3 linked regions of the Drosophila melanogaster genome follow. Changing the gene in region 1 together with any one later gene gives a genetic interaction. Each region holds a gene or a part of one and is shown on either strand. Other genes may lie near its edges.

Region 1 (10,297 bases):
GCCGGGAACAGCAAGAAAAACAACGCGCACACTGAGAGAAACGAGGCCCACACTCGGACTGACAGCACTTCCCCATTTTGGCTGCCAGCAACCAGTTGCATATGAAAGTAAAAGTAAAGCATGCACATGCAGCGTATAATAAATATATATACACAAACTGCATTTAAATGCATTGCAGACGGGCTGAGAGACCGCTGGAGAGATACATATGCGACTATATGTTTAATATGTTTCATACAAACAAAACAAACAAAAGGCGAGCCGGTGCGAAGACAGCCACACCGGTTGTGAATGCAGACACCGCTCAGACAACTATACCCATATTATGTGCATATAAGTTCATATATACGATACATATATATATATACATATATGGCCGCTAATGAAATGCGTTCAAAGAGGCCGAAACGATACCCAGATGCTGATAAACAAGCTGAAAACCAAGCCAGGCTCAAGCTCAAAAATAACCGAAACTTCATTTCGAAGACATGACATCATATATGTATACGTATGCTGCATAATCTTCTTGCTCGGGATTTAAATTGTTTAAACAGAATTTCTTTGAATATTCGACTCGTGACTCAAAAGGTTTTGCTCAGGGAATTTATTTCTTTGGCCTTCAGAGATTTTATGGACACGTTCGTGTTTCGTTTAGAAAACATAAATTGAAATTAGGGATAAAATAAGTAGCTTAAGAGTCGCATATTTATTTCATAATAAAAATCAACATTATTTTTTCGTGAACTTATAGCATTCCATGGAAGTTTTGATTTAGGTTTGACTTGTCTATTTGTATAGTTATAAAGTTGGGATGCACAAAGGATACTTTTAAATATATAAAATGTAACTATATGAAATTAATTATATAGAAATAAATTTTTACTTTCTCACTGCACTTTCAACTTTATTTTTAATAGAGAACTTGAAATGCTTAAAAGCACCAAAAAATAAATAAACATAAACCAAGTCGCTTGGCTTGTCAATCATGGTCCATTTGACCATGACCATGACTTCAGAGTGCAGATCTTCTCACGATCGTTTGAGTTGGAAAATCGTAGTTTTTCGGCGTTGCAAAAGCCATTAAATTGATGCATGTATAACATGACACCAAGCTCGATAATAATTATTACAAATTTCTGCCTTTCGGCGAATGGCTTGTGAAAGTTTTTCGCACAGGAAGCTGGCTGCGATTTATGCAACAATTTATTGGACATTATTGTTTCTGGCACTCTCTCATGCAAATTGTGCGGAGCTCAAGGCCTTTGCGACAAAGTCGTCGACTGCATACTAAATTCGAAAATGTGATTCACATTTCGGTTCATGTGATACACTTGCAAAAAGCTGCCGATCGACCTTCGCAAGGCGAAAACGTCACCGAAAACGTGTGTTCGAGAAAAACCTAAGACTTGACATTTTATTAGTTTCAAGACGGCACCGGATACTAAGTAAACTATTTAGCATTTGGCCGGCGTAGAGAATTACCCCAATCACTTTGGGTACCTAAAGTGACTCATTAGATGGGCATTTTTCAAGCGTCAGCCGAAACACCATTAGTTTTGACCAACTTGTACGGCCCCAGACGCTGAACTTATAGCTTAATTGTTTACAAAACGGCATGGCCACTTCAATGTAATTAATAATTATTAAATGTTTATATAAACGTTATGGGGATGTGGGTTTCAGTTGTAGCTTATGTATATGCTGGCCCACTTCAAAGTCATCGAATCACGGGCTATAAAATTAATAAGCACTTTAGAATGGCCGGCCAAACGAGAGATTGTGAATCTCGAGAGCAATAAAAACACACGAAGGCGAAACTCAAACGCAGCGAAAAGATCAAGTTGAAGACCACAGAAAATGCAAAGACACAAAATACAATAAACAATAAAAAAAATACAACGGCCTTGAAAAATATTTAGCAGTGAATATCTTATTTAAATTATATTAAATTTTAGTAATTTCAATAAACGAATTTCTATTTCACACAAGTGGAATCTTAGAATTGTTTAACTTGCACGACATCCACCGCCATAGAGCAATAAAATCCCATATTTTCCCACTACGAATATGCGTAAAACTTAGATCCGCTTTGACTTCAGCCATTTTTTATTCGACTGAAAACCGTGTACTAGACAACCCGCAAGTCGATGTCGTCACACGGTGCGTATACGCGATTAGGCATGCACGAGTGAACTTGGCCCCCAAGTGAAGTCAATTCACTGATCATTTGTTCGACTTTAATTGCGACGATTGTTGCAGCCATTTGGCAAACTATCTGATAAGCGTTTAATTTGATTATCAGTGGCCGGCGTCTAGTTTGCATCGAAATTTATTAAGTGTAAAAGGTCAAATAGCAGCTTCGTTTTGATCCATGGCCTGAGTTTAGCAATTTGACCTCTTAATTAAGCCGAACAAGTTTGTTGTCCAAGTCTTTTATTTGAGAACTAAACTCTACTCGCTCACAGCTACGTTCAGCTTAGCGCGCTTTTGTAATTGTGAGCCCCATTGACATTTAGCGGATAGCTGAGTCGTTCTGAGAGAGGAGCAAATCATAATCTAATCGAAGTGCCGGTCCCGGGCCAAAGCTGATCAGCCAGATCGACCACGAGCGGCAGCTGCTGGACAAGAATGCCGAACCGCTCCGCTGAAGGCAGTCCACTTTTAAGAACGGCACGCAACCAGACTGAGGCAACAACAGCCGGCTATTGTTTCTATATTCTCGATTCCATTCCATTGCGACCGAAACGGGGTTATCTGCTCACTGAAAGAGGTTGTAAGAACAAACTTATATACTTGTATAGGGAAATAAAACATTCGATTTGCTGAAGAATAAATTAAAATATTTTTAGCCAGAGAAGCTGGGAACATGAAAAGAAGGAATCTTTAAAAAACTACAAGATAAGAGATTTATGTTTGCGAAACTATGCCATTTATCAGCGTTTTTCTTATCAAAACGAAAGACTAATTTGAATGTTTGCAACACATTTTTTTAAAATACAACTTTAAGAATATCAAAAGATGTATTTATATTAGCGTAATTTCCATTTAATGGTGCCTTCCATTTTTCTGAATTTTAAATGTAATATTATTTATTCATTTTTCACTTTTTATTTTCATTCATATTATTTTCGCAATAAAAAACTTTTAGCTCCTTAAGATATTCGAAATGATAAATCTCAAAGAGCAAGCCACTTAAAAACAATTAATCCCGATCATATAGAGCATTAAACTCCACACATTCCTCATTCCAATATTGGCTTTCTTTTTTGTGCACACATTTTTTGTCTGCTGCCTCTTGTGATTCTGTTATTAATTTATTAATAGTTTTTGCCACCGCGGTGAGCTGCGAAACCCGTTGTCGTTACTCTATTGGCTGGTCATGGGATTTTGTTTATCATGAAAATTCTAAATGGCATGCTCATGTCATTTGCTAATTTTTAATGGCCTTTAAAAGCCAGGCTGCATAGCAAGTTTGCCGCTCACGTCGCTCAGCAAAGACCTTGACTTTCTTTTTAGTAAATGAGACATTTCTCCAACACCGTCTGGCTACAATTAGCCGGCCATAAAAAAACTTTAGGGCTGGAGTTGACAAACTCCAACGTTACAATGCGCATTTTGAAAGCAAAACTGTTTGCTTGTGTGTAGAAAGTCTAACGCTTCGCGTTGACAGTGCGTTTTGTTGACTCACTCAGCCGCCGTTTTGCGAGATTTACAATCTTGAGTAATTTCACTTGCTGGGATGCAAATTTCGGTGCTATTACAGTCACTGGTCAAGCAGAATCAATTGCAGAACGCGGCGGATATCCATTTCAGGCGGCCACAAAGGCTGTCTTTAACAATCTGAACTCCGATATTCTGCTTTTGTTCAAGCCGGAACAATGGCGAATCAATTAAAGCTTGCCGCCTGGCCAGGCAACTTTTGTCTGCCTTCCGCCTGTACATTTATCACTTATGGATCGCGCACTTTGCGCAGACGCAGGTAACTAGTTTTCACCGCAGAGATACAGCCACCGCCATCGCCACCTAAAACACACATTTCAAGGCAATAAAATATGTTTGGCCATGTAATTCTGCAGCGTCTGGAAGTGCACTTCGGCGCGTGTGTCTGCTGCGCGAAATGCATTTCCATTTCCATTTCGTTTTGTTTGACTCGGTCTCTGTTTATTTTGAGTCTCCGTGGGGAATGTTGACCGTGCATGTCATTCGCGTTTAGTTTTGAAAGTTGTTTGCTTCCTGCTGCTGCACGTCGCGTCGTTTTGGCCATTTTAATTAAAAACACATCACCTCCTGAGGCTGCTATGGCAATTTTTATGCAAAGTGCGTTACCCACTGCTTAGCTGCTCGATAAATGCTCGAATGATATTTATTTAGCAAACGTTTCGCTGCAGCGCAAATTTCATACTGATTGTTAAATGTAACAGAGGAAAAAGGCGGCAGCAAAAGGAAATCAATCAATACAAACCCACAAGAGTAGGTACTTCAGCGGCTCTTGGCCCAGTTTGTGCGTTCAAACGAGACCAATGAGTGGCCATTTGCACTTGAAAGTGCATATAATAGGCAACCAAGTGAAAAAGGATGCGAGAGAAAAGGATTGGTAAAGACCATAATAAGGGTTCGAAGATTTTATTGTCAGAGTAATGATTTTGAATTAATATAATTTGCGCGCCCATTTGGTATTTTAATACTGAAAACAGGTCTCGTTTTTTAACTCTGATCTGGCAACGCCAGGCTTGTACACTTTCAAAAGTGCGAAAAAAAACATATGTTCGCTGCATTCTTGTTGAGTTGCATTTTAAATAATCAAATAAATTTGATAAATTGGGAGCTTGTTAATCAAATTAACTCGAAATGGCTAGCACTTCTCGCGCAGCTAGGAGCCAGAATGCCATCCCCTCGCAGGAAGCGCAACAACCCGTCGATGTGGTCGACGCCAAGGTTCGCGCCATTCTAAACTACATCCTTGATCATACCGCCCAGAAGATTCCCATAAAGGACAAGGATTTGATAGCGGTGGCTGGGGACAAGAGCGAACTGAAGAAACGCCTGCCGCTGGTCACTAATCTGCTGGCCGAAACATTCGGTATAATACTAACCCCACTGGACGCGACCACCAAGACGTTCATCTGCACTGCGGAGGAGCCGGTGGCCTCCATTCACGAGCTGACGCCGGCTCAACGGCCGCAGTTCACGCTGCTGTATATTATTCTCATGTACATCTTCCTGCGCGGCAACCGCATCGAGGACTCGAAACTGTACGTTATGCTGGAGATGCTCAACATCTATCCAGACGAAGAACATGGCTACTTCGGCCCCAATCTGCGCAAACAGATCGAGGAGACGTTTGTGAAGCAACAATATCTGAAGCGGGAACGCTCACAGCTAAGTGCTTACGATGATTCCAAGACTTTCTTCCTTTGGGGACCACGTGCCAAGGCGGAGTTCACATTCGAGCAAATGGTGCAATTCGCCTCCAAGCTGCTCAATCAGCATCCCAAGGTCTTCGGCCATCACCTCTCCATGGCCCAAGAAGGAGTAAACGCGGAGTAGAATACCATTCTATGAATAATTTACTACATTTGATCTAACAAATTGAAAACCAAACAATATATATAATAATCTAAAATAGAGCCAATTTCCCATTTATCAGCAAGAAAAGAATATTACGATGATCTTTTAAAAATAGCACGTCTTTTCTATTTATCTAAAACTTAAGTTAATTTACTTAACAACGGAAGCAGAGACCCGACTCTAATACTTGGCATAGTCTGTGTCCATTATGAGCTTGCCATCCTTGTCCTTCAAACGAACGCGGCCGTTGGAGTAGCGCGTCTCTTGGCTGCCATCCGGATACACTAGCTTCACAGTGCCGTCCGGATACTCCCTTCGCTTGTTTAGTTTGGTGTGAATCTCCTTTTGGCCATTGGGCAGATTGAGAATCTTGTCACCATTCCGGAGCTGCACTAGATGGGTTCCATCCGCATAACGCCACTCCTCCAGTTTCTCCGTATCGCTGGGATCCACAATCTTAATGCTGTTGTTGGGAAAGTGAATCTCAACAGTGCCATCCTTGCGGCGATGTTCCGTCTGCCCGTTGGGAAACTCGAGTATTTCCAAGCCATCTAGGTAGGAGGTGTGCCAAGTGTTGGTCTCAGCGTAGTAATACTTCACTGTGCCTTCCCTGATGTTAGTTTCCTTGATATCCTTGTTGAAATAGAGCATGCGCAAGTTCATGCCATCGGCGCTTATCTTTTTTAGATTGCCGTTTGGGTACCAAATGTCCTTGCTCCCATCCGCATTCGTAATCTCCCGCTTAAAGTCACTGCTGGAGTTGGCAGCCGGTGGGGGGGTAGCAGCTTTCGGAGCGGTCACGGGCGGCTGAACTTCCTCCGATTCCACAGAACTACTAGAGGCGTAGCTCTCATCCAGAGCGTATGGTGTTTTCTTATTCCTGCTCAGTGAGCGACTCCGACTTCTCACTTGGGCACTGCCGCTACTCTGACGACGGTTTTGCGCCTCTCGCTGCTTGGCAGGCTTACCAGCAGTGCCGTCCAGAGATTGGGTGCGCCGACCGTTCTCATCGAGGATATCGGACATTGTCGCGGAAGGTAACTAAATGAAGACATTAGTTACATTACGATATACACACAAGCATGCACTTACCACTTTGGGGGCAAGCCGGGCTATGTTTCGATTGATCTCCTGCAGCATCTTGCTGTTGTTTTCGCGGCCAATCTTGACCAGCTCTTGCTCTAGGCGCTTGTTCTCCTTGCGCAGCAGCTCGATCTCGTCACGGTAGTTTCGCTGCTCCTTCTCACTGGCCCGCAGTTGAGCGCGGAGTCGTGCCTGTGCCGAGACATGCGCCTGCTCCTTTTGTTTGAGCTGGAGTTGCAGTCCCTCCACTTCCTGTTTCAAGGCGGCTATCTCCTTTTTTTCCTTGCTGTTTGCATTGCTCTTTTGAAGTCGCATTTGCTGCTCGAACTTGCGTCGTTCCTCCTCAATCTTCATGCGCTCGTCGTGCAGATAAATTTCAGCTTGAATCTTTTCGTCATGGACGCGTTCCATGGCCTCCATGTGATCCTGTGTGCACTTTGCCTTCTCCAATTCGTGTTGCTGCCTCAGGCGAAGGAGTTGGGCATTCTGCTCCTTGAAGGTGGCTATCTCTGTCTCCAGCTCTTCGAGGCGAGTGCGAACGAGATTGGCTTTCTCCTGAAGATCTTTGGTTATGGGTTCGTCTGACTCCTTGCTGGGACTTGACTTCTTCTTCTGTTCCAATGCCTGGAAGAGGGCGGACTTGAACTGTTCAAAGAGCTGAATATTGGAGCCGTCGTTGAGGCTGGTGGCATCGGAGTACTCGTGCGTGTCATTGGAGTCGGAGAAACGCACTCGCACTTTAGTATTCCCCACCTGGATGGGTGTCATTGTGAGGGTCTGATCGCTGGACGGTTCGGTGTCCTCCTCGTCCCCCTCCTGCAGTTCCTGCACCAGCATCTGGTCCACCTGTGGCTGCAATCGCATCTGACGCACCTGCTGTGTGACTACAATGTGATCGGAGTCATCAGCTACTCGGCGACGCTGATCTTTGCGCGCCATAAAGGTTCGAATGCAGCTGGAGTTCATATCAATGTTTCCCTCAGTGGCCTTCTGCTCGAGCAGCTCGAATATGCTTACATTGCTGTCATCTTCCACTCGGATTTGAGCAGAGCGTCTTTGGATTTGCGCTGGCTTTATACTCTGTGTGTCCAGCACCTTGGCCCAGCAAACTCCTGTCATGGGACTAGCTTCCGAGGAGGCTTCATCATCGGCATGAGTGGTTTGTCCCGCCCTGCTCTTCTGCTCTACAAAACGAACTCTGGGCGAGGTGCTCGAGGCGGTTGTGGAGGACGCATAGGAAGACTTTAGATCTGGAGTGGAACTGCAGGCGTTCTTGCCGATAAGCATCTGCTGAAAGCGCTGCTCGTTGAGATCGTCGAGCTGTGCTGAGGGTTTGGGAGCTGGTGGAGGCGCAGGATTGGGAGGTGACTTGACTTGCTTCTTGAGAATACCCTTTTTCATTTGAGGCGTGCGGAACTGAGGGTGGGCATTAGCGAACTTGTATCGCGGCAGGTTTTCCAGGCGCAGCTGGTCGGGATTGATCTTGAACCGCTGCTTTAGACCTTCGCCGCGACGCAGAAAAGGGCGTTTAGGCTTGGCCGGCTGGGGATCAGCCATTGAAATCTCTGGCTCGTGCTCGTCCGGATCCGCCGCGAGTCGCGGCATTTGTATAGAGTGCTCCTCGTCCCACTCCTCCAGCACACTGTTTTCATGGCTTTCCGTTTCCTGGTGTAGCAGTCCCAGCATTTTGTACATATTACGTTGCTCCAAGCCGAGCAAAACGCGGTGATTGGACTGCCGCTCCTGCAGCAGCCGCTTCTGCTCGTCCTGCCAACGACTAAGCGCCGCGAGACGCTGTGCGATGGCCTCCTGGCTCAGAGGCATTCCAACAGGACTTTCGCCAGCCTCCTGCATGCTTTTATATTCGTTCTTAGAATCGCAGTTTTGTTTAGACGCCGTACGCGTAGGGGAATTTAAAATTACGGCAGCAGTTGTCCAACACTGTACCAGTGGCAACTCTGCGGTCAGGGATGGTGCTAGACATGCATTTTGATTAGATTTAATTTTTTATTAAAAATAAAATATTGTACATTTTCTTAAGCAATATGAAAAATTGATTTTTTTCAATCCTGATCCCCTTCCTCCGGTTCATCAAAGTCCTTAACGTTCACGTCTGCATCCTCGCCGTACTGCAAGATACTGTCAATTTGTAGCAGAAGATCGCCCACGCTCTCCTCGTCCTGGGAATCCAACGGGAAAAATCTCACCAAACTGTAAGTGAATAATAAACATCAATATTTACAATTTTTGAACGTCACAAAAATAACCGATTTTGATAAGTGGCAACGCCACCGCATAGCTCGCAGCCCTCGTATCCCACACAAAAGCATTTTTCGACGCGTCGCAAAAGAAAATGTGCTTGTGCAATTAAAATCGAGTGATAAAAACCAAATATAAACCCTTTTAGTGCATCAAACTGCAATAAATCAGTGCGTTTGGGTAAATGGCCGGCGTTTGCAAAAAGGCGCGCAAATAGTGAGCTGACGAAATACCACCAAAAATCCCAACCAACAAATCCCAGGCAGCCAGCCACTAAAAAAATCGCCTAATTTACGATACAAAACACTTTTCGAGGGCAAATCGAAAAACGCTGAATTCCGGGCTCGGGCCAAACAGCGCACCAATTCAAAAATGGAGACGCCCGTCGAGGAGCACGGCATGGACCTGACCAAGGTGTCCGTGGTGCGCTCCGCCAAGGGCGTGGATATGCTCTGCGTGGACGACTATCTGTACCACTTCGATCGCATCGGGCGGAATAACACCTACCGATGGCTGTGCAACAGGCGCAAGGACAAGTCCACTCCCTGCAAGTCCCGCATCTGCACCATGCTGCCCGATCCGCTGGACAAGACGCGCCACGTCGTCGTGGACGTCGTTCTGGCCCACATCCACCCGCGCTGCAGCGATCACGAGGTCAACAAGGTGGCCCAGCGCAAGCGGCTCTCCGTAATGATGATGAACGACGCTTACAGCACCACCCAGCCGAAGAGAGCACGCCTGTACGAGCGCGCCAACGCCGGCATGAATCCGCCGGAGTTCATCTACGGAAGCATCGACACCTCCACCGTGGAGGCCTCGTTCCAGTTGGACTTTGAGGTACGGCCCCAGGCCAACTGTACCTGGCTCATGCCCCTGAATACTCAACTCAACCATTTATTTAGAATCTAGCTGGGTCTCTTTTTCAGAAAGAACATTGATATTAATATTGATTCATATTTCGGTAACCACCGCTACTTTGAACATTTGATAATGTAAAAAAAAGGTTAATTTGCTCACCTTAGTAATGAGATGGTTTCCCGCCAATTTGTTTTTTATATTTATTTTCCTATTTGCAAATCCACCGGCTAGGCCGTTAAAAGGACAATAAATACCAAAGCTTAATCATTTATGATTCAAAAAATACTATATATCTCCAAACGAAACTAAATATTAGGGATTTTTGAAAAAAATGGGACCCAATCATTTTATAACATGCACCCTACTGAAGGGAATATCCAAGGGAATGAAATACTTTTGAACTTACACTTAACTTAATTTTACACCTAAATAGATTTCCCATGATGTACCATTTTTAATTCATATACAATTTTACAGCACAAAAATGACTAACACGAACTCTAATTCCGCAGGACAAGGATCGTGTGTA
Region 2 (10,297 bases), on another chromosome or scaffold:
TCGAAGCGGTCATCAGATCAGCACCCTCTGGTGGGGTCAGTTCCCGCACCTCTGAGTTCTCCTTGCTGCGCGATGGTTTCTTGGGCGCAGCCTGCTCCTGGGGCTTAGGAACCTCCTTCTCATTGCCCTCATCCGATTTTTCCTCTACATTAATTGAGGTAACCAAAGCTTCGGGCACAGATTCCACCGCTAAAATTTGCTCCTCCTCCTGACGCGCCCCTTCCTCCGTTTTCTCCGTGTTCAATGCTTCCTTCTCAGCCTTGCTCACTGATGGAACAACAACGGGAGCCTCGGTAGGAACTTCAGCCTCAGGAACTGGCTCATCTGCAGTAGTCTTCTCTACCTCCTTGGCCACACCGTTCTGCTCGGGAACTGGAGCGGATGTGGGTGCGACCGGGGCAGGAGCTGGTTTTGTGATGGTGGAGGTACTGCTGCTGGTGACAATCATCGACCTAGTCATTGCAGAGGTATCCTTGGTTTTCGGTTCCTTGGTAAGCCTACTGATGCGCTCGGAACTGGCTGTGCGACTTGGCAGCGCCTTTGAAGCTGATGCTGCCTTGGGTACCGGAGGTTCCTGTAGATTCAAATACGATTCAATAAACGTAATGGGCTTCAAAGGAATACGAATCTTACCCGCTTCGAAGGCGTCTTCTTTTCGGCGCTGCTCAGCCGCGATGAGCTGGAGGTCACGATCAGGGAGGTGGACATAAGGTTTGCAGTTCGTTTGGGTGTCGTTTGTGCGGATGGCGAGGCGGCTGTCGTCTTCACGGGCGGCTTCTGATCCCTCTTGAGTTTGTTAATCTCTACGAGGTTTAAGGGTTTCATGTCTGACGTTCTAAGTGTTCTTCAAGCGGACTTACCCTCGAGAGACATGCCCGTTCCGGCGATACTGGCGGGCCTCGGTTTCCGGGGTGCCGTTGCCGGTCGCCTGGGCACCAGCCCGGATGTGGACATGTTTGTCGATGTGGACATGGCGCTGCCGGGCCTTGAGTTATTGAAGTGTCCGCCGGGCGTGGCATTTCCCGATCGCGAGCCTAAAGATTACAGATTTCATTAGAACAGTTACGGAATGAGAGATTACAGGGGGCAAGGGGGTGTCATTATGGATGAGCTTATGTGGAGCACCAAATAAAGCGTACGTGAGTAGTGACCGTCACCAGAGTTTACCATTATTGCAGGGGGGAAACACAGGGAAACACAATACCAAATGTAGGACACAAGTTAACCAAAGATCCAACAGAGTTCAATTCGTACACATATAGCGAGCGAACACATAATGAGGATACAGAACATAAAACCAAGGACCAAATATCATATACCTAGGAGTACACAGACTCATCTGAGCCCATAAATACTTATGTTTATATGCGTATTCAATGTTATGATATGGCTAAAATGTAAAATAAATCAAAATGATAATAATGATAACAATTAAATAAATGTAAGTTTCGCTTCACCATCTAATAAAACCCGATCAAAGCAAGTGTAACTATGGATACATACGAACAAAACGACCGACAGACGGCGACAGGCAGCAAACAATATGGACCAGGGAAGCTCCGAAAAGGATCGATTATGATAATGTGATTATGATGATCTAGAATAATGTGAAATGTGAAGCCTATATGTATGCTTTTTGAAATTCTTTTTTAAGATCTTACAAACGTTTAACATGTGGTTTGGGATTAAATGATCAAATGAAAACACAATGTGTTTTACTGGATTTATCATATAAACGGACTTGCGGATGTAATGGACTAACATATCAAAGGTTGTTGAAACCGCATGAGATCACATGTGGATCACAAATTGCTGCTCAGATGAACTACAAACAACCTCGATCGGTCGTTCTTCGTATGTCCTCTATGAACCGAGGGAATTGGGAAACAAAAGCCTATGCGGGTGTACGAGTTCGATTTTTGGAGTGTGGTGAAAGTTCAAGTTAGTCGATTTCGGTGCGCGAGTTGTTGTTCTAGTGGTTTGTGGTGGGGGCTATCAGTAGGTACTCGAGTAAATGGATAGATGGCTACAACGCTATACGCAATCTGCGGAGGATTTAGATTTTAGATTTAGTGAGTAGTGTGGTGGTGGTGCTAGCGTGTTCTTTGGATTGGTGTTTTTTGATTGGTAGTTCGAGATGTTTGGTTGTAATTTAGGTTTTTGTTTAAATCGCACACACCTGCATTCACTAACAAACTAGCAGAGTTCATGAGCAACAATGAGTTGGGATCGAGATCGAGAAAACGGTGGGGGTTAGTAGAGATCGCATATTGCTGCTGCCGGCCACGACCAGTCGCGTTCGCGCGGAAGGATGCAGAGTTGAAGGATGAGGCTGAGGCAAATGATGACTGGAGGTATTTCTTAGTTGCCGCAGTTTGCAGGCCGAGTGTGGACTGGCGCAGGTGGTGCAGGTGGTTGGGTGGTGGTTGCTGTGGTGCTGTGCTGCCATAAACCGACCAACTGCTAATCTGTGTCATGCTCTTACTGGTGGAGTCCCGCTGCCCTCCGGCTCCGCTGGCCAGCGGACGGAAGCTGGTCGATATGCCGCCTCCCAGCGAGTACTTTCCGCGCTCCCGCTGGCCACCTCCTCCGGCCAGGTGTGTCATGCTGCGGGACATTATGCCGGCGGCACTGGAGCTACCGCTTCCGGCGCTTCCCGCCCGCCGTGCACGCGCGCTGGACCCCGCACCGCGTCGCCCCCCTCCTCCGCCCAGCGAGGCGGTCTCGTCCAGCATCTCCAGCTCCCGCTCGCGGCGTTCCCGCTCCAGAATCGCACGCATGTGCTCCCCATTGCGGCGTATCGGCTGCGCCAGCTGGTCCAAGCGGTTCATCGAGTAGGCCCGTCCTGCGGTTCAGTTGAAAGTTGAAATTGGTTTCGTGAATCTTTTTTTGAGCCTGGCTCTGGCTGTGGATCCTTAGGGAGCTAGCTAAGCTTAACCCACGGATGCGTTCGAAATAGTTTTCAAGGAATTTTCAAAATTGTCTTAAATATATCTATTGTATTCTGAAAATCATTAAGATACGAGAATACCTGATATAACTTTTATAAAATAAGATTTAATAAAACTTTACTATTTCGAACGCAACTGCAGTTACAGGAAGACTTCACAAAAAGATGTGGACAAACTGGTCTACAAAATGGTGTGTACAAGGTGTGTTTTGAAAAAGGTGTGTTCAGGTGGCTGGTGTGTTTTTTACAGTGTGTGTTTCAAGTGCGTGGAATAAAGTTCTGGTGTTTTCAGGTGCCTGGAAGAGAAAGTGTTCCATATTTTCTCACTATATCTCTGCCGAAACAGCATTGAACCCGGGAAACGACAGTAAAAAGTCAGGGGCTAAGGGCAACTCTTGGTCCGGAATGGGCTAAACCAAAAGGAAACACAACTAATCGGATGGAGGGATGTCGAATGAAGAGCTGTTGATGCGTAGATAGACGATGAAGCTGATCGCTGGATGAGCATGATTCAGATAGCTATGGGGGTGTGTCGGTTGGATGGACTGGAGGATCGATTGGGTGGGTCTTACCTGGGGTTCTGGCCGGCGTCGAGCTCAGGGAGCCTCGCGAACCATAATGCCCGTCTCGGGGGCTAGGTATTGTCGGCATAAGGTCCGTTTTCCTGCGGTAAACGCTTCGGAACACCATGGGTGATGAGTCAACGCTATCTTCTGCAATATTCGGGTTTTGGGTTGTTTTGGTTTTTGTTTTGTACATGATTTTGGATTTTGATATTCGATTTTTGGATGCAACTGCCGAAATGATTCACTTGCGATTTCGGTCTCAAAATTATATATGAAAAAACTTAATATCTAGGAACGATAGAAACCAAAAGCGAAATAGCTAAAACTTAAGTGTTTACACTGATACTCCTGATGGTTTCATAATAGATTATTAATTTTAGAATCGGTAATTAATACAGTCAGCCAGTGTAAACACTTTCGGTACAAAATAACCATGCTGTTGGGGATTTACGTTGAATTCTTTACAGACGGTCGATCCTGCTTTCGAGGGTTAGCTTCAACGAAGAGCGCTTGGGATCTGTACAATCTGGAGGGCGTAAAAACATCATGCAAAACTGAGAAGCTCAAGGCATGCCATTGGTTTGGGTTACGGGGGTAGAGACAACGAGAGTTACGAGCTTACGGCGGGGTTACGAATACAGGGTTAGGTTTGGCATTGGGGTTACGGCAAAACAAAAAACGGGGTCAGAACGAGAAGGGTTAAGAACGAGAAGGAGGAGCTGAGTAGAGTAGAAGAACCCTCACCCTTACGATACGAGTTATTGTTGTTAAAGTTGTTGTGGCCTGCAGTAGTGGTGCTTGTTGCTGTGGTTGTTGTGAGATTTGTAGGTCTGTGCGCGTTGGCTGTTTGTTTGGAAGTGGGCGGCGGATGGGGATTGGCCGGCCCATCGATATTTATCTCGCTGCCGGCAATGGAGAGCGAGAACCGCTTGGGCGGCTCGTCATTGGAATAGCCCCAATTGAACACCTCGTACATGGAGGAAGACTTGCGTCGGTGATCTGTGTGAAGTCGGTAGTTTTTTCGATTTGTTTCAAATATAGAAGTGAACGTTACAGAGGTGTGATTGCTGTTTGCTTTTGGGTGCAAATCATATTAGAAAACAAATACAAGAAAAAAAAATAAATAAAAAGAGAAGAAGGGAGCAGAAGTGATCGTGCCGTGTGAGAAGTCTGTGGGTGCTAGGGGTTTGTATCTATACAATAATAGTAATTCACATGTACACCAACTGGGCACAGTGGGAGATAACATGGTAGAGGGTTATAGAAATCTCCGGTTTGCGGGGCACATGTAAACAATAACTGGGACTTGTCAATTACAAGATTTACGAGTGTCTAAGGTAACGATAACGATAACTGCAAAGTAAAATTTAATCTCATTATGTGTGTCTGGTGTCTCAGCGAGTGTGGAGTGTTCAAGAGTGTGTGTATATCTGTTTCGGGGATGACTCAAGTGCTGCCGGGGGCAGCGCGACTCACCATCTTGTCGGTCCGTCGATGAGGAGGCACGCTTCTTAGCACCACTGTCGGCAAGTTCACGCTCTGAACTTCGACGTGTGAGCGAGGCGCCCGCTACGTTCGATATAGATGTGGACCTGCAAGGGGAAGTCATGTTTAGTACTCAAATTCAAATATCTAAGCGCAAAAATATAAACTTCGAATTGCCTCAAAATGGCCTTGCTACTTCATAACGATAAAACAATTAGCTATTTGCCATTAAGAATATCAAAGTTTACAATGAAAACCTGCTTAATCATTGTGAAATGGGTTTTTTCAACAATTGATTGGCTACTAGCTCACTATCTTTAGTTTCATGTTAGCCAATTATTTGCTTTCATTTCGCGACATTTACTAAGTCAATAATTATACTAATTGTGATTTATATATTTTGGCAAACAATTTCGTCATTAAAAGTTCAAGAACTGATAAAAATAATTAAGTAATGCCAGTCAGAGTGCAGCGCTAATTAGTCATGTGCAGCGCAAAGCACATATGAAATCGGCCAAAATATATACTAATCTAGATAGCCATGAATGGCTACATATTAGTGTGCGCGTTTTGTGTGAGTTTTTGGCTTTGTGCTCAGATAACTTTCATTCGGATCTCACCTCCGCTGACCCCAAAAGGCACTGGGCGATACCAGACCATAATCCGCGGGCACATCCAGCAGGCGGGGAGTCGAGGAGCCAAATGCGAAGCCGATGGAGTTTCTGTCCCGTTTTTTCACTTCTATCCGGGACTCGCGTTCCTGTGGATGATCAAAAACAAGAATTATAATAGAAGTTCATTGGAATCGAAGCGATAACGCACGCACCTGATTCTTTTTGAGGATGTACTCGCGGCGCTCCTTCTCGGCCTCGAAAATGGCCTTCTTGCGCTCCTCCACCTGGTGGCGCTTCTCTGTGTCCCGGGTACGGATCTCCTCGATGCGTCGACGGCGCTCCTCCTCCTTTTGTTCACGGTACCGCTGGGCGGCCTCCGCCTGGGCACGCAGTTCCTCGATTTTCCGGTGGCGCTCCTCATTTTGGCGATCGCGGGCATATTTTAGTTTCTCCTCACGGTCTTTGGACGCTAAAAGCGTAGCAAAATGAATAGAGATTCGAATTCGCACATACTTATAAGGGCATAAATTGAATTTGGATAAACAAGTTACGGTTCGCAAGCAAATAAAACTGGGAATATTTTCATCAGTTGCTACCTGTGGCCCAACAAAAATCGATAAATATCTGCTTAATATGTGTAGTATTATACCCCATTTTTCGACTTTTGCCGGCGAGTTATTTACATGAGAGCCGAGAGCTGACGTCATCGACAATGTACACTCGCATTTTGTGGGTCAATTGACAAACTAGCAGCAGCAACAATAACAAATATGGCACAAATACTCGGACAACAATACCGCCGCCCCCGCTTCAAATTTGCCTATGTGCAAAATGGGCGAACAACAAAAAAAACAAATGATAAAAGGAAAATAGAAAGCAAATTGCTAATGCAGGCGCACATTTTGTTCTATTGAAATGACATTGAGGCGGAAAAATGCAAAAAAAAAATTAACAATAATAACAATAATATTGGTAGCATGCGGTTTGGCTGCCAAAGTCTGCATAATCGAACTGGGAACTGGTTCTTATCGCCTTATCGGTTAAGATATTTTTGGAATTCCATGACGTAAGCAAGACGACAAAGGAACAACTGCAAGTCAATCTTTTTGCCAGTTACAGGTGCGAAAATATCTTGCAAATGGGAAATTATCAGCTGTCAAGGTCGCAGGCAAAATTGCTGGATTTTAACCCACTGTATGCCATATTTACTTGTGTTTTTGGAAAGCCAAAAACATTGCAATTGATTTTTCGCTTGATAAAATCCATTTCCTTTTTGCTCTCGTAATAACATGTAGTTCAATTTAACTTAACAAACTTTGAGAACATTGTTATTAAGATCAAATTCCCAATAACTTAATCATTCCTTGTTTTGCATTCTCACAATGATTTAGTCAAATATGACTATACATATTTTTAAAATTTGTATAATTAGAGTTGGACTTGCCATCTAAAATCAAGCTAGACCTTAAGTGTAGATAACATTTTGATCTTTTAGGTGTTAATTGAAGATGCTTTGAGTTTTTAATAACCCACTTTAGTGGGTAACATCTAGACAGTTTAGAAACTACAGTGATTTAAAGCGTGTCACTGGGTGAGAATAGATAAGAAGATTTTCTTATTAGAAAAACAGCTATGAAAGACTTGCAATAGACCAGTGACGGTTAAAATCGCGATAAGGCGGACTATGGGTCTTATTTGTTAGTGAGATCATGCGGCAAACATTCGGAGCATTCGTTTTGGAGGCGGAACAGAACGGGGCGTGGCTGTGGAAGACTTTGGAGCAGCCTGAATGGAATGCCAACTACCTTGAGAGTCGTCTTCACTGGCGGAGATTTGACCGCCCACCTGGGCGAACCAATGCAAGGTTGCGCCGGCGCTGCAGCCCGAGATCTTGGCAGGTGCGAATGCGTGGGCTGTGGTTCGAGTTATAGGTGATGTTAAAGCGATTACATATAGTGCGTATGTGTGATATACATTGGTGCCGATTTTATGTAACTCGCAAGATAATCCGCATAGAAGGCTTACCTTTTCGCTCGGCGCTGCCCTCGCGACTTTCGGGTCGCTTGGCTGTGTTTTCCACTGCAAAAGAAGTACGAGAAAAATGGACGATTGAGTTTCGCTGCGATTTTCCGGAGTTTTACACGGACTTTTGGCTTTCGTGTGTGGGGAAAATCAATTGCCGTTGCGTTTTGGCAAAAAGGAAAGGTGACAAGAAGGCGAAAGAGCGAGGAAGGAGGGGGACACAAAAACACACACACACACGCACGAACACAAGCGCACGGCAGCAGCTGCGATGACGAAGCGAGAGAGACAGTGAGAAGTACGAGAAAATAATGTATGTTTCCCTCTCTCTTGTTCCAACGACTTTTCCGACTGGAACTTATTTATAAACTCAAAACTCCGGTTCGGAATCGGGGAACTCGAAATACATATATCCCCCATTTCTAGGGGGCAGACACTTTTGGCTTCTCGGCTTTTCTCTTCTTTTCTTTTCTGTGCCTCTCGCCTCGCTGTTTTTTTTCTTCGTTTTTCTCTCTTCACTCCGTTTTTGCTTTTTGGCCGTGGTGTGAGTGCCGTTTTGCTGCGCAGTCGACCAGCACTTTTTGGCCACTGAAAACGCCCCGAAAACGCGTAGATCCTGGCCGATTTTCGACGCGGGGGCATTCGTCCTTCGATTTCGCACTCTCAGCGGGTTGTTTTCAATGCGTACCTTCTGGATTAGTCGAAATATTTCCGTGTTGGCCCCCAAGACTCGCCATATTTCACTTTACTTTAGCGCTGCAAACAGTGTGGCCAGCTCTGTAGTGCTGCGATAATCTACTTAATGCGACCGTACTGTTGTATAGTGGTGTGCTCTACGAAAATACTAGAAATGTTAACTAACGTATTGGTTTTTATGTATAAAAACTAACTCCGGTTTTATGTATAAAAACTAATGATCATTCGGTCCTATAAATACATTATCTAATGTTGTATGATAATTTCAGCTTCCGATACCAAGGGCGCAATAATTAACACTCCATTAGGGACGATATGCTCTAAGTGCGCTGACATAGAAATTAACATTAATCTGTTAACTAACGGTGCCCAGTTTAAAATTTAGGTACACTTGTATTCAATACTGAAAAGGACTTATTTATCTCCAATTTTATTTATCTCTGAGATTTCTTTAACCTATAGTTCATATTAAATCTAATGCTTCTCGGCGGCAATGCAGAGTTTGGCCAGAAGGGCGGTGAGCTGCAGCAGCGAGTTGATACCATCGATAATCTTCATGTGGGTGATTCCGATCTCACGGATAAAGTCCAGCTTCAAATGCTCATCGATGTTGATGCGCTTGCAGACACGGAATATGTTCGCAATGATGTCCTCCGGCGAGTATCCCAGCTTCCACAGCTTGGCCAGGATTTTGTAGGCCTTGTGTATGTCGTTAGCAGCGCAATGGTGGATCATCTCCTCTAGGAGCTTTGGGTGCGGCTCGTCGCAGACCTTAAAGACGTTCTCAGCGGTGATGTCGCCAAATCCCTGAGCGGTGGACTGCAGGTTGTTCAGTCCCTGTCGCATATCACCTTGGGCAGTGAATACGATGGCCTCAAGTCCGTCCTCCGTGTAGTTAAGCTTCTCCCACTTGGCCACCTCGATGAGCTTGGCCAGAACTTGCGCATCGGACAGCTTGGTGAATCGTAGCATGGCGCAGCGGGACTGGATAGGCTCTATGATCTTCTCGCTGGTGTTGCAGGCCAGGGCAAAACGAGTGGTGCTGCTGTAGATCTCCATGGTCCGGCGCAGTGCCTGCTGGGCACCCTCCGTCATGCTGTCCGCCTCGTCCAGAATCACAATCTTGTGCCTGCCCCGCGGCAGTGTCACCTTCTGCTGAGCAAACATCTTGATCTTGTTGCGGACCACATCGATTCCTCGTTCATTGGAGGCATTCAGCTCGAGGACAGCCTCCTTGTAGCTGTCTCCCAGGAGAATCCTGGCCAGACACTGGATGGTGGTTGTCTTGCCCACGCCAGGAGGACCCTATAGATCACAATTAGTGGCGCCAAACTAATTTTACTCCTCACAAACTCACAGCAATAATAATATTGGGTGCATTTCCCTGGGTGGCGAATACGGATAGTCTTGCTACGGTATCCTCATTGCCCACTATCTCCTTGAACTTCACGGGGCGGTACTTCTCAATCCACGGCAAGTGACTGCGCTTGTCGTCCGCCGTTTTCTCTGGTTCTTCCGGCATTTTATGTGCAATTTCACAAATTCGCACAAACAAATTGAAGCGTGGGGCTGTAGTGTGGCCGTTTCTTGGGCGCCAAAACACAACGGTTAGGCCTGGTATTTTTTACATTTATCGATTTCTTAGCAACACCGATAGGTCCATAAAGGTAATTATTTGAAATTCAAATATAAAAAAAAAACGTTCAGATCATAAAATATTCTGTAAATGAGGAAAAGAACACACGCTCAACAATATATAAAAAGAATATGTTTTAAGCAAACATTAGTTAAAAATTCTTGTTTACAATGTAAACGTTAGATAGATGAGGATTTCAAATCAGGTTAAAAAAAACTAAAAAAGTTAAATTTAATTTAAGACCAAATAGTTTTTTTTTTTCGTTAAGCTTTATTGGGTATTGAAGAAATTACAATACATTTAGATGCATCAGGTGCCAAAAATTTGA
Region 3 (10,297 bases), on another chromosome or scaffold:
GATCAATAGGTGGATTGAATGTGTGCGAATATGGCGACTCCAGTAGCGCCAAACAGTTCGATTCGTTGAGGCTGATGTCCAGATAGTCATCCGGTCCCTCTGCAAACATGCTCGATATGCTGCAAGAGAAATATTAAATGTTAGCAACTAAGATGGAGGATCTATGGAATCGCTACCCACCGATAGTTGCTGTTGGCACCGATTCGATCGATCCTATAGCCTAGCAGCATGTAGCACACATCGCGGAACTCCTCTCGGGCCGCCTTGAAGCAATCCCTCATCTTCCGCATCTTGCCATTGGCGGACTCTAATTCGGCTTGAAGTTGATTGAACTCCTTAAAGTTCAGTGTCATGCCGCCCGTGCTGGTGGTTTCATTGAGCCTTTGCTCGTTATCGTCCTCCAACTTCTTGTTGCGCCGCTTGAGTCGCTCAATCTCCGCCTGCAGCTTCTCCATCATGTTTTTGGTGGACTCATAGGCTTCGGCAGCGGGATTTTCACTAAAGTGTACCACCTTGAAGTCCTTCATGTTGAAGTCGCCCCGCAAGCAGCGGTGCATCATCTCCATCTCCAGTTCCTCCTTGCGCCGACGCAGCCGATCGTTTTCCATCCGCAGCGTATCCAGTTCCTTTTTGACGCTATCGTATCCCTCTCCGGCAGGTTCGTTCACAAGCTCCTGCTGGCGCAAGGATTGAATCTCGCGTTCCAACGTGGCACACATGTCCTTGTATCCGGTTACGGTGCGTTCAAGCACCTCCATTCGGACCCGCACCTGCATGTCCTGCGTCATGTCCGCCACACTGGCATTGCTCAGGGTCGTGTCCTTGTCGAAGTTTTCCACCAGTTGTTTGTAGAAGTCGCGCTCCTTAGACACGGTGATCAGTTTGCGCTGCAGTCGCTCCTTGAAGTTCTTGTGGCGTTTCAGTCCGATATTGAGATCCTCGATGTTCTTCAAGTAAATGGCGCACTTATGCTCTAGATCTCGAATTGTGGTCTATAAAATGGAGTCAGATAAATTGGACTTGGAACACATTGGACAAAACCTACATTCAAATGCTTGGTATCCGAAGCCGATGATGTCTTCTCTGCCACGTGAATGATGTCTTCTTTTAGCAGTTGCTCAATGCGCGAGCGTAGGGCCATTGGGCTGACCAAAGTGTTGGCCAAGCAGTGATCCTGGGCCACCTTGACCCATTCCTTGAGTTCTTGCTCCATGTGAAGCAGTTTCACCTGCAGGGAAGCTGCTTCCGCCCGAGCACCTTCCTCCCGCTCCAGTCGCGTTTTGTAGTCGTAGACCTGCTCCTCCAGAAGCAATTTATCGCCTATCAGAGTGTTTAAATGCTTGTTGTGGCTGCGCAGATGCTCCACCTCAGCTAGCAAATCTGGAACACTGGCCAGGCGCTCTCGTGAGGTTTTGACCACCTCCTTCCAGTCGCTATACGACTGAATTTCGAACTCCAGCTCCTGAATGCGATCGTTGGCCACCTTCAAGCTTTGCGTTTGCTTCTCGTGATTGGCGCGCAGCTGCTCGAATCCGGAAGCCCTGGCCTGTAACTCCTCATTGAGTTGACGTAGGCGCTCCAGTTCGTTGCGCGTAGACTGCAGTTCGAGATCGGCCCGCTGGGCTATGCGGCGATATTCGCTCAGTTCGTTGTTGATGCACAGGTGCACATCGCGGGCATCCTCCTTCTGCAGGTACTTCTCCTTCTGCAACTTGAGCGTGGATTCATCGAACTTAAGCCTAAGTTGGTTCAACTCGGCGGTGGCCCGACTGGCCTCATTCTTCAAGACCAGCTCTCGCTTACGAAGCGCCTTAAGATCGTCCTGCAGCTCCAAATTCTTCTTGCTGGTGATGTCGCACTGATCCTTTAAGGCCGTGCTCTTGTTCTCAGCCAGCAATATGGCCTCTTTGTGTTCCCGGCTCTTCTTTTCGATTTCGTTACGCAGCTGAATTACTATGGCCTTGGTTTCGATCAGCTCGGTCCGTAGTTTGCTGTTCTGCAAAGAAGCCATGGAATCGTTGGCGGGCATATTGAGGGAAGAGGCGGTGTCGTTAAGACTGCGTTCCGGTGATTCCCGTTCCCGACGTCGCTTATTGGGTGCTAGTAGAGGAGTTACTTGTTAGTTTCTACGTTCGCGCCTGTAAATTACAACTTACAAACTCCTAAATCGAAGGAGGCGGAAAGCCGGTTGAAAAGTAGTTTCTTGGGTGCCGAATGGGTAATGCTGTCGTTAAAGCGGTCCATCATATCATCTATGCTGCTACGTATGTCGTCCATTTTAAGTTGTATGTGGGAGACCTTAGTTGACGTTTTCAGTAAAGATATTTACTTTTTATTGCTAAAAGAAGTTGGTAAAATATTAATCTTAGAGTGGCTGCAAATATTTAGACAAGAAATGCCAAATATTGGTCATATTTTATTAGTATTAAAGTGGCCGATAACTTTGGCTTTTGTATCCAAAATTGTCACCAATAATCAAATATACGTATATTAATCTGGGAAATAATATCTTAAAAGGGACAGTTGTCTTAAGCAATTTCTTTATTTGGTGTGTTAATATAAAATCAAGAAAACAAATCAAAAGCTAAGTTGGCAGCCCAGTTTAGTATATTCGAGCGTGACTCTTTTCTGCACCACCCAAAAGTATGTTACACGAAATACTACAGGTAAAAGAAATCGCAATCGATAACGATAGTTCTTCGAGTGTTGCCGAAAATAAAAATTGATTTGCATTTCTTCTCGGCTTAAAATGAATTAAATGTTATTGTTTCCGCACCGAAAAAACTCATAAATCGTTAAAACAACAAATTCCGAAATCGGAATTAATTCGAACAATTGAACAACTGCCAAAAACTAGAACGTATGTGAAGCGTGTGTGTCGTACATACCAAGAGATAAGGACAAAAAACGGTTAAAAGAAAGCTTTCAAGAAAGAGAGTATAGAAAATAAATTTTACTAAAGTAACAAAAAAAAAACAACGAAACGCGTGTGCGTGTGCAACAAAAAAGTGTATGTCAAATAAGAAAATGTGGCTCCAGCGATAACGGTACTCCAATGTGCTCTCTCGCACGCACACAGAAGCATCCCGCACACGTACACCACCACCACTGCCAAAAAGCAAATCCTGCCCAACAGCCGCACCTATAAAAGTGGGCGTGGGTTGACCCAAGTTACTGTAACAAATTTGCAAAAAGTGATGCATGCTAATTGTTTAAACAAATCCCAGCTTTCCTAATCAAATACCTTTGCGAATTCCAATACACACCTATACACACATACCCACGCAGTGATTGGTGTGGAGAGGAAGAAGGAAAGGAAGCCAAAGGACAGGATAGAAAAGCAAGAGGAAGAACGAAACAGCATCGGCGCGTTGGAGAAATGTGCGGGAAGAGAAGATTGAAAATAAACGTGTAGTAGAGAATTTTTGAGACACTCACACGCACACACTCCTCCCACACTCTTTCTCTCTGTCTCTCCGTCTATACCGCTTGCCGCCTACACACACACATACTTAAGTAGACGCACGAGAGTTCTCGTATCGCGAAAAGCGTGTGCTTTGTTGTTGCCTCTCCCACTCCCTCGCTCTAAGAGGCGCTCCCGTGTTGTTTTTGTTGTTATTGCCGCTGAGCAAATGGCAGACCCTCTAAGCGGGTGCCGCTGGTGATAACATGTCGTAATGGCCAGAGAGGTAAGTGCAAACGTGCTAAAAGCAAAGCAAAGCCGGCAACTACGGCTTAACCGTTTTAGTTTTCCCGATCACCACGGTACCGCAAGTTACTTTGCCAAAATCAGCTGTTCTCACTTCATCACCATCCCCCATCATTCACATCTGCAACCAACGGTGTTAGCCTCTCCCAACATTAAAACAGTTAACCCTATGTCATATTTTTCCAAAGAAGTTTAACCCAACACTACAACTTAATAATAAAAATGCTGCGTGTAACAAATAATTATTCTCTGTAGGAATGAATTTTTTAATTAAGCAGTAGAAACAAAATAATCAAAAATAATACTAGGTAATAGATTTTTTTTAATAACATGCAATTTGAACAAAGTAAAATTTATAATATATTTTAATATTTCTTTGACTTGGTCTTTGTAGATATTTTGTTCTTTACGTGGTCAGCTGAACGAAAGATAGGTTCTTTATAGAGCAACACAACAGGATGCATGAATAAATCAACTTCTAGAGAAGATTAGGCAAATTTTTATTTTGCTGCTTGAGTATGGGTGCAATGGATACGATTCATGCCTGGCCTAAACTACAGGCACTCTGCTCCATCTATGTGAATTTTTCATATGACAACCTTTGGCGAGTGTATCTAGCAAGGCGTATCGCTGCGGATGCTCCGCACTCGCGTCCGCATCCGCTAGAGAAACCTATTAAGCCTGTGGCCCGCATTAGTCTCTTTGTGTGCGTGTCCCTCAAGCTCCTGCTCTGCATATGTGTGTGTGTTTGTGCATGTTTTATGCAGTTCCTTCGTTTCGTTTTGCTTTGCGGGTGAGTGAATAGCTTTGACCCAAATAACTGAGGTAATACTTACGCCTCACAGATGTGCCACTCCCCCAACGCCCTCCTTTCCCGCCGCCTCCATCCCACGTGTGGCTGCAACTGTTGTTCTTCTTCCTCTTCTCGCGCCCCCTTTGAAAGGAATTTCGCTCTCTGGCCTTTCCAAAATTGTTGCTTTGAGAGGATGTCTCCAAAAATAAATTAGTTGCGAATTCCCAAAGCGCTGGAATTCCTTTAAGAGCTGATAAAAATGCAGCCGAGATGGCTTTCAGTTGGCAGTTGATCTGGCATTATTTAGGATAAACAAAACAACTTTATCTCTCCTTCTTCTTACTGCAATTAAAAATCTCGGCCAGCAGCAATTACAGGAGTTTTAGTGCTCTGTTATCCATTCACATTTACAGCTGGCAATGCTTTTGCGAGAGGTAGAGAGCTTCATATAAAAGTGCATCACTCTCTCTCTGTCTCACCCTTTTTATTAAAAGACTTCAATGTTTAATGCTAGAGTTTAAATGTCGAGCAAGATCAGGTCTAAAAGAAAGCTAAATATTTTCCTGGGGCACACAATCCAATAGCAACACTATTAATTGAACGCCGTTGATTGGAAGTAAATGTTTACAAAATCAAACTGATGGGATCTTATGAAATGCTGGTAAAGCGTTTCGAGGGAGAAGGTGCGCGCGCTTTGGCGTCCTGATTATATCACATTGATGCAAATGTAGGCCAAAGCACGACGAAATATCTTTACCTGTTAAAACATCGAAAATTATGGAAAAAAAGGTAGTAAATGGGAAATAGTGGGGTGGATAAAACAAATACGGTTTAATTGGGGACCTAAAAACTGAAGGCATTAAATTGACTAGATAGTAGTAACGGGATTTCTACCCCCACTCCTCCACCTGTCCTACTCGCTCTCGCAAAGCTTTGTGCTGCATTTCACCTCGTTCTCACTGCACTTCTCTCGCGCTTATGCCTCGTGCTCATTTCAAGCGCTGTTAACGCGCTGCAAAAACGCACCCAGCCCCAAAAGTCAAAGAAGAAGCAGCAGCAGAAGCAGCAGCTGCTACCGTAGTGAAATCCGATGCAGCATCTCGTCGGGAAAACTCACAGTTTGCTCTGCCAGGCTGCCAGGCACACAGGCAGCTAAGGACGCTGCTTTGGCCCGTGGAAACACCACGTTCCCACTGGGTGCTATAACTAAACAAATCAAGCGTTTTTCTACAAAATCAAGTTTCTAAAAACGAGCTATAATTAAGTCTAATAACTGGGACTCAGCATCAAATGAAAATGAAAACTCGGCGGTTTCACGGGCAAAAGGGCGCTGCAGGCGCGTAGTATCCGTAAAGTGAAAGTGCGAAGGTCAACCCGCCCTGACCTGCCCCAAAAATACGAATGCGAATGCGAATGCGAAGTACGAGCAGTGAAAAGCGAAATTCTAGGCACTTCAACTCTGCCAGTATTTACAACAAACTAAAGTAACCAAATAACGTGGACGATAACATTTATACCAGAAGCTGTATTTTGTGCAAAGTGCGTTTTTTTTTTCGTGACCCCCTTAACAATTTTTGTAATTACGAATTTTCCCCCTGAACGCAAGGCATTTATGACTCCAACAATAAGCAATAAGCTTTAATTTTTGTAGAACTTTTGGTAAAAGCATCCGCAACTCCGGATTTTGTAAGGCGTACATCGGTTACGGGTTTATATAACGGATTTTTAAAACGGACATGGATTACCAGAGCTTGGAGCTCCAAGTGTAAGACGACCTTGGAAGCGACGAGGCCAACCATTGCAAGCAAGCCAGCAGAGCCAGCGCAGAGACTCGGCCTAAAAGTGGCTGGCAGCAGCAGCACCACCAACAGCACCACCAGCACCACCATGTGGTCCAACGCCCTGTGCACGCTGGGCGTGACGAAGCCGCTCTGCAACTGTCTGAGCATCAGACAAGTGGCAGCCGCAGCTGCGGCGGCGGCCCAGGCCACGCAGGGCGTAGCTGCCTCTGCCGCGGCGGCGGGTGGGGCCGGAGTGGGTGGTGGGGCCATCACAACGGGGCCCTCGTCGTCGGTCACAAACGGCGGACTGTCCGCAATGGTAATAGTTTCGCTTTGCGACCCATACTTATTCAGTGTTTAGCTTTCATCGACTGCAAATGTCCTTCATTTCTAGATCAAACTCAATCTATTCCGTCCTTTATCCAGTTTGGTTTCCAATTCCACCTCCAATTCTAAATACCTCCTCAAATGCATTTCACACTGGTTAATCGAATAGCTTGTTGGGCAATACTGCTCAATAACTAGTTTAATGGTTTTTGGAAATTCATTTGAAATTATTCAACCTGTTGGTGGTTGGTTTGCCTCTTTTCTTGCATGAAATGAAATATCTTACTATTTTACTTAGGGAAGATAAAGCATCACCTTTAGCGTATGTTATACATTTTCTTTAGGTACTATTACCCACTTGTTTTCTAAAGTTTCCCCTTTTTTTAAAGCTAAGTCACACAATCTTAAAGTGCTACGATATTCAACCAGTTCTCCAACAATTGTTTTACGGCATAATATGATTTATCGAGCCTTAGAACTGGCAGTGCTCGCTGTTTATAGTATTATCAGTTTCATAATTTATAATAGCCAGCACATCCCCGACCCGCTGCACTCCCTCGGTGCCATATGGTGCTGGGGTGCAGCAACTGACCTATCCCAAGAGGAAAATCGGTGCGATGGTTTGGATGGAGAGGGATGAGGCGGCGAGTAGAGCACACAAAACACTGGCCAGAGCGAGGGAAATGAAATATTTTTATGAAAAGTTTCTGCTTGTTTTCGGTGCGGAGGAATAAGCAAAATGTCAACATGAATTTTTTGTAATTTTTCAAACATTTTATTTTGGGTGAACGGGCGGGGAATGAACTGGGGGATCGGTGGATCGGGGGATTTGGGGGCTTGGTTGGCCGAAGAGAGATATTTGTATATGGCTCGTGTGCTGCACTCGTTACTGGGTCACTGGAGCGCCACACTCATGTCCTTGCAATACATTAAACATTGCAGCTTTCGTCCTGCTCGGCTGGCTGGCTGGCTGGCTGGTCGTTGTTGTTGTTGCCTGCAACTGTTAGCCAACAGCTGTGCGCGCTGTTAGCCAAAAGGATTCGTTTTCAATTTTCTTTGGCCCTTTTTATATGTACATATATGTTTCCATTTTCAAGCATTAGCACTTGCATTTGCTTTATTTCGAATGTGAGGGCCGTGGATTTATTTCAACTTTTATTCCATAAGATATCTACAATTAATATGAGCAGTGCAGCAGTTGTGGCCTTGACATTTGCGCCCTTTTTGGCCAAGCCAGAGAAGCCCAATTAGCGGGCTGAGGAAATTATGACACAGTCCGGGCCTGCTGCCACACCCACTTGTCAGTTTTTCGTGCGCAGCGTTTCACAGGTGTCACGCCCATCCTGCACCCTGCACCCTGCATCCCACATCCCACATCCCCATCCTCCCACATCTCAGCTTTCACTTTCCCTTCCTTCGCCAGCAGTTGGAATTGTAATTCGTAAAACGCAACTAATCCGAATTTCTCTTCGCAGGAGTCTCGCGGCAAGAGACCACTGAAAATCTGGGACAGCTGGCGGAATGTGCGCAAGGGCGTCGTAGTTGGGACCTTCGAGGAGCTCTTGGTCCGCGGCAAGGATAAGCTGGGGGTTCCTGCTTCAGAACCGGTGCGCGTTGTTCTGGAGTGTGATGGAACCCAAATCGAGGATGGCGAATACTTTCGCACCCTGGCCAACAATACGGTGCTGCTGCTGTTAAGGCAGGGCGAGCGCTGGTATCCCACTGGCGTCGATGTCATAAAGGCTGGTGGGTGTAATAAGTTCACTCCCATCTCGGGATCAGTACTGGCCACGGGAAATTTAATTATAGATTTAGACCTGGTCAGAGGAAACATTCATTTAGATTCAATATTAAATTCAAATAAGTTATCACTGCGTAAATTATGAGCCTTACCCTTATAGCTAAATATTTGCAAAAAGTCTATTTCGATATTTGATCAAAGACTCTTTCAATTTCATTCAAATTGAATAACTAATTCATAGAGCAAGCATTTACTTTAGTACTTAGCACAACTTTCAATGTGGCTTGTTTGAATTGATTTCAAGGTCAATTGTTTGCGAATGAATTTAAATTCTTTTTATAGTTGGCTGAACTTATTCAATTTCTAAAGAACAGAAATTTAAACAATTCTTTGGACTATATCCTCTGTTTTGAGACACATTGGATCTTGAATGCAATAAATTTCAGCATGTTTTTAATGCGTTGGCAAGCTATTAAGATTTCCGCTGCTAGCATTGAATTGTAAACAAAAACGTAAGACGTAAAAATTAAACAAAAGAAAAATGCTATTTAGAGATTTAAATGACAGTCATTACAATTTCAAGAACATGGTCGTCCGATTCTTATACAAGTCTATTTAAGTGAATATCGTATTAGCTATTTTTTGAGGCGATAGTTGACCTTCTCATCATTCCGTACTGAACTTCAGTTGGGATTTCTCAGTGGTTCGGATCTCATTCTATTATTTTTCTTACAGCCATATCAGCTATACCGAAAATCGTCTGTGAGACGATTCATGCGCTGGAGTTGCACGATGAGACACCGTCGTGGAAGATCATGGATAACAAAGGGCGTGTCACGGTCGTTCTGCACTGGGATCAGCGGCAGGGTGGAGGAAGCGGCGGCGGAGGAGGAGGCGGTGGCGCCGGCGGCGGAGTGGGGAGCATGTGCTCCGGCCTGGGCAGCAGCAATGGGCTGCTGTCGTCCGATAAGTACTCGCCCTCAAAGAAGGGCCTCTCCGCGCAGAGTTCGCTGGACAACAAGTCGGTGTCGTCGCAGTCCTCCCAGCCGCGCTATGCCAGCCCTCAAATAACGGTGATCAGCGACGACGGACCGGCGAGCATATACCATCCCGGTGGCGTTGTTCTGCCGCCAGGAGTTGTGATACCCGGCGGCAGCAGGCGACTCTCCAAGCAGGGAAGCTCCTTCGACAGCACCGTAGGCGTGGGTGTGGGAGCTGTCCATGTGCACACGCCGGAATGCGCCCACCACGCCCACACGCCCAGCAGGGCGGGCAGTCCCAGCACCACCGAGTGCGACTTCCACTGCTGTGCGCTGCACGAGGAGGGGCGCAAGATCGCTGTGCACAAGAGCGTGGCCACGTCGCCCATCCAGGACGGAAGCAGCAGTCCCCAGCCGCAGTCGGCACCATCGGTTATGGATCCTATGCTGGGCGGCAGCGGTGGCGGCGGAAGCGGCAGCATGCAACGCCGCTCCTCGGGCGCCAAGGGCCATGTGCGATTCCTGGACATCGCTCCCGAGCGGGATAGCTCCGAGAGCGAAACGGAGAACACGGTGATGGAGGACGACAAGACGACGACGGAGAAGTTTCTGCTGCTGATCGACCAGTTGTCGGTGGACCAGAAGCGTCACCTCAGCATCAAGGACATCGGCATCATACTGGAACGCCTCAACTCCAAGATCCTTGACGTGGAGCGATTGGATCGCGAGTCCGAGTCAGACGACTGCTACAACTGGACGATAAAGGCGACAATACGCGGCGATGCGCTGCGCGAACTGGGCGTCATTTACAATGGCAATTACTATGCCATCTCTGAGCATCCTGGCTACAAGGAGGAGCTAGAGGAGAACGGCGAGGAGGTCGAGGAGGAGGAGGAAGAGGATGAGGAGGACAGAATTTAGAGTGCCAATGACAGGCAGACGGGCAAACCCACAGGTTCATGACTG

What was found.
Region 2: of Sas-4 (region 1) and ens, changing one enhances a phenotype caused by changing the other (phenotypic enhancement), as found in Drosophila melanogaster (one study listed by BioGRID).
Region 3: of Sas-4 (region 1) and Mad1, changing one enhances a phenotype caused by changing the other (phenotypic enhancement), as found in Drosophila melanogaster (one study listed by BioGRID).

What each region holds. Positions count from the first base shown.
Region 1 is NT_033777.3:7,149,616-7,159,912, reverse strand, and holds Sas-4 (spindle assembly abnormal 4), read right to left. Parts: upstream 8,547-10,297; 5' UTR 8,506-8,546; coding exon 6,661-8,505; intron 6,610-6,660; coding exon 5,749-6,609; 3' UTR 5,694-5,748; downstream 1-5,693. Other genes in the region: MAGE, read left to right, coding at 4,849-5,547; gfzf (GST-containing FLYWCH zinc-finger protein), read left to right, coding at 9,283-9,747, 10,281-10,297; CG2656 (uncharacterized protein), read right to left, coding at 8,715-8,862.
Region 2 is NT_037436.4:4,126,129-4,136,425, forward strand, and holds the start of ens (ensconsin), read right to left. Parts: upstream 8,423-10,297; 5' UTR 8,375-8,422; coding exon 8,326-8,374; intron 7,695-8,325; coding exon 7,641-7,694; intron 7,529-7,640; coding exon 7,421-7,528; intron 6,085-7,420; coding exon 5,828-6,084; intron 5,762-5,827; coding exon 5,622-5,761; intron 5,109-5,621; coding exon 4,993-5,108; intron 4,516-4,992; coding exon 4,261-4,515; intron 3,664-4,260; coding exon 3,523-3,663; intron 2,846-3,522; coding exon 2,180-2,845; intron 1,035-2,179; coding exon 861-1,034; intron 804-860; coding exon 634-803; intron 575-633; coding exon 1-574. Other genes in the region: RfC4 (replication factor C subunit 4), read right to left, coding at 8,808-9,638, 9,691-9,855.
Region 3 is NT_033778.4:9,289,181-9,299,477, forward strand, and holds the start of Mad1 (mitotic arrest-deficient 1), read right to left. Parts: upstream 2,386-10,297; 5' UTR 2,278-2,385; coding exon 2,157-2,277; intron 2,101-2,156; coding exon 1,046-2,100; intron 993-1,045; coding exon 181-992; intron 120-180; coding exon 1-119. Other genes in the region: Drep2 (DNA fragmentation factor-related protein 2), read left to right, coding at 6,390-6,602, 8,086-8,356, 9,087-10,252.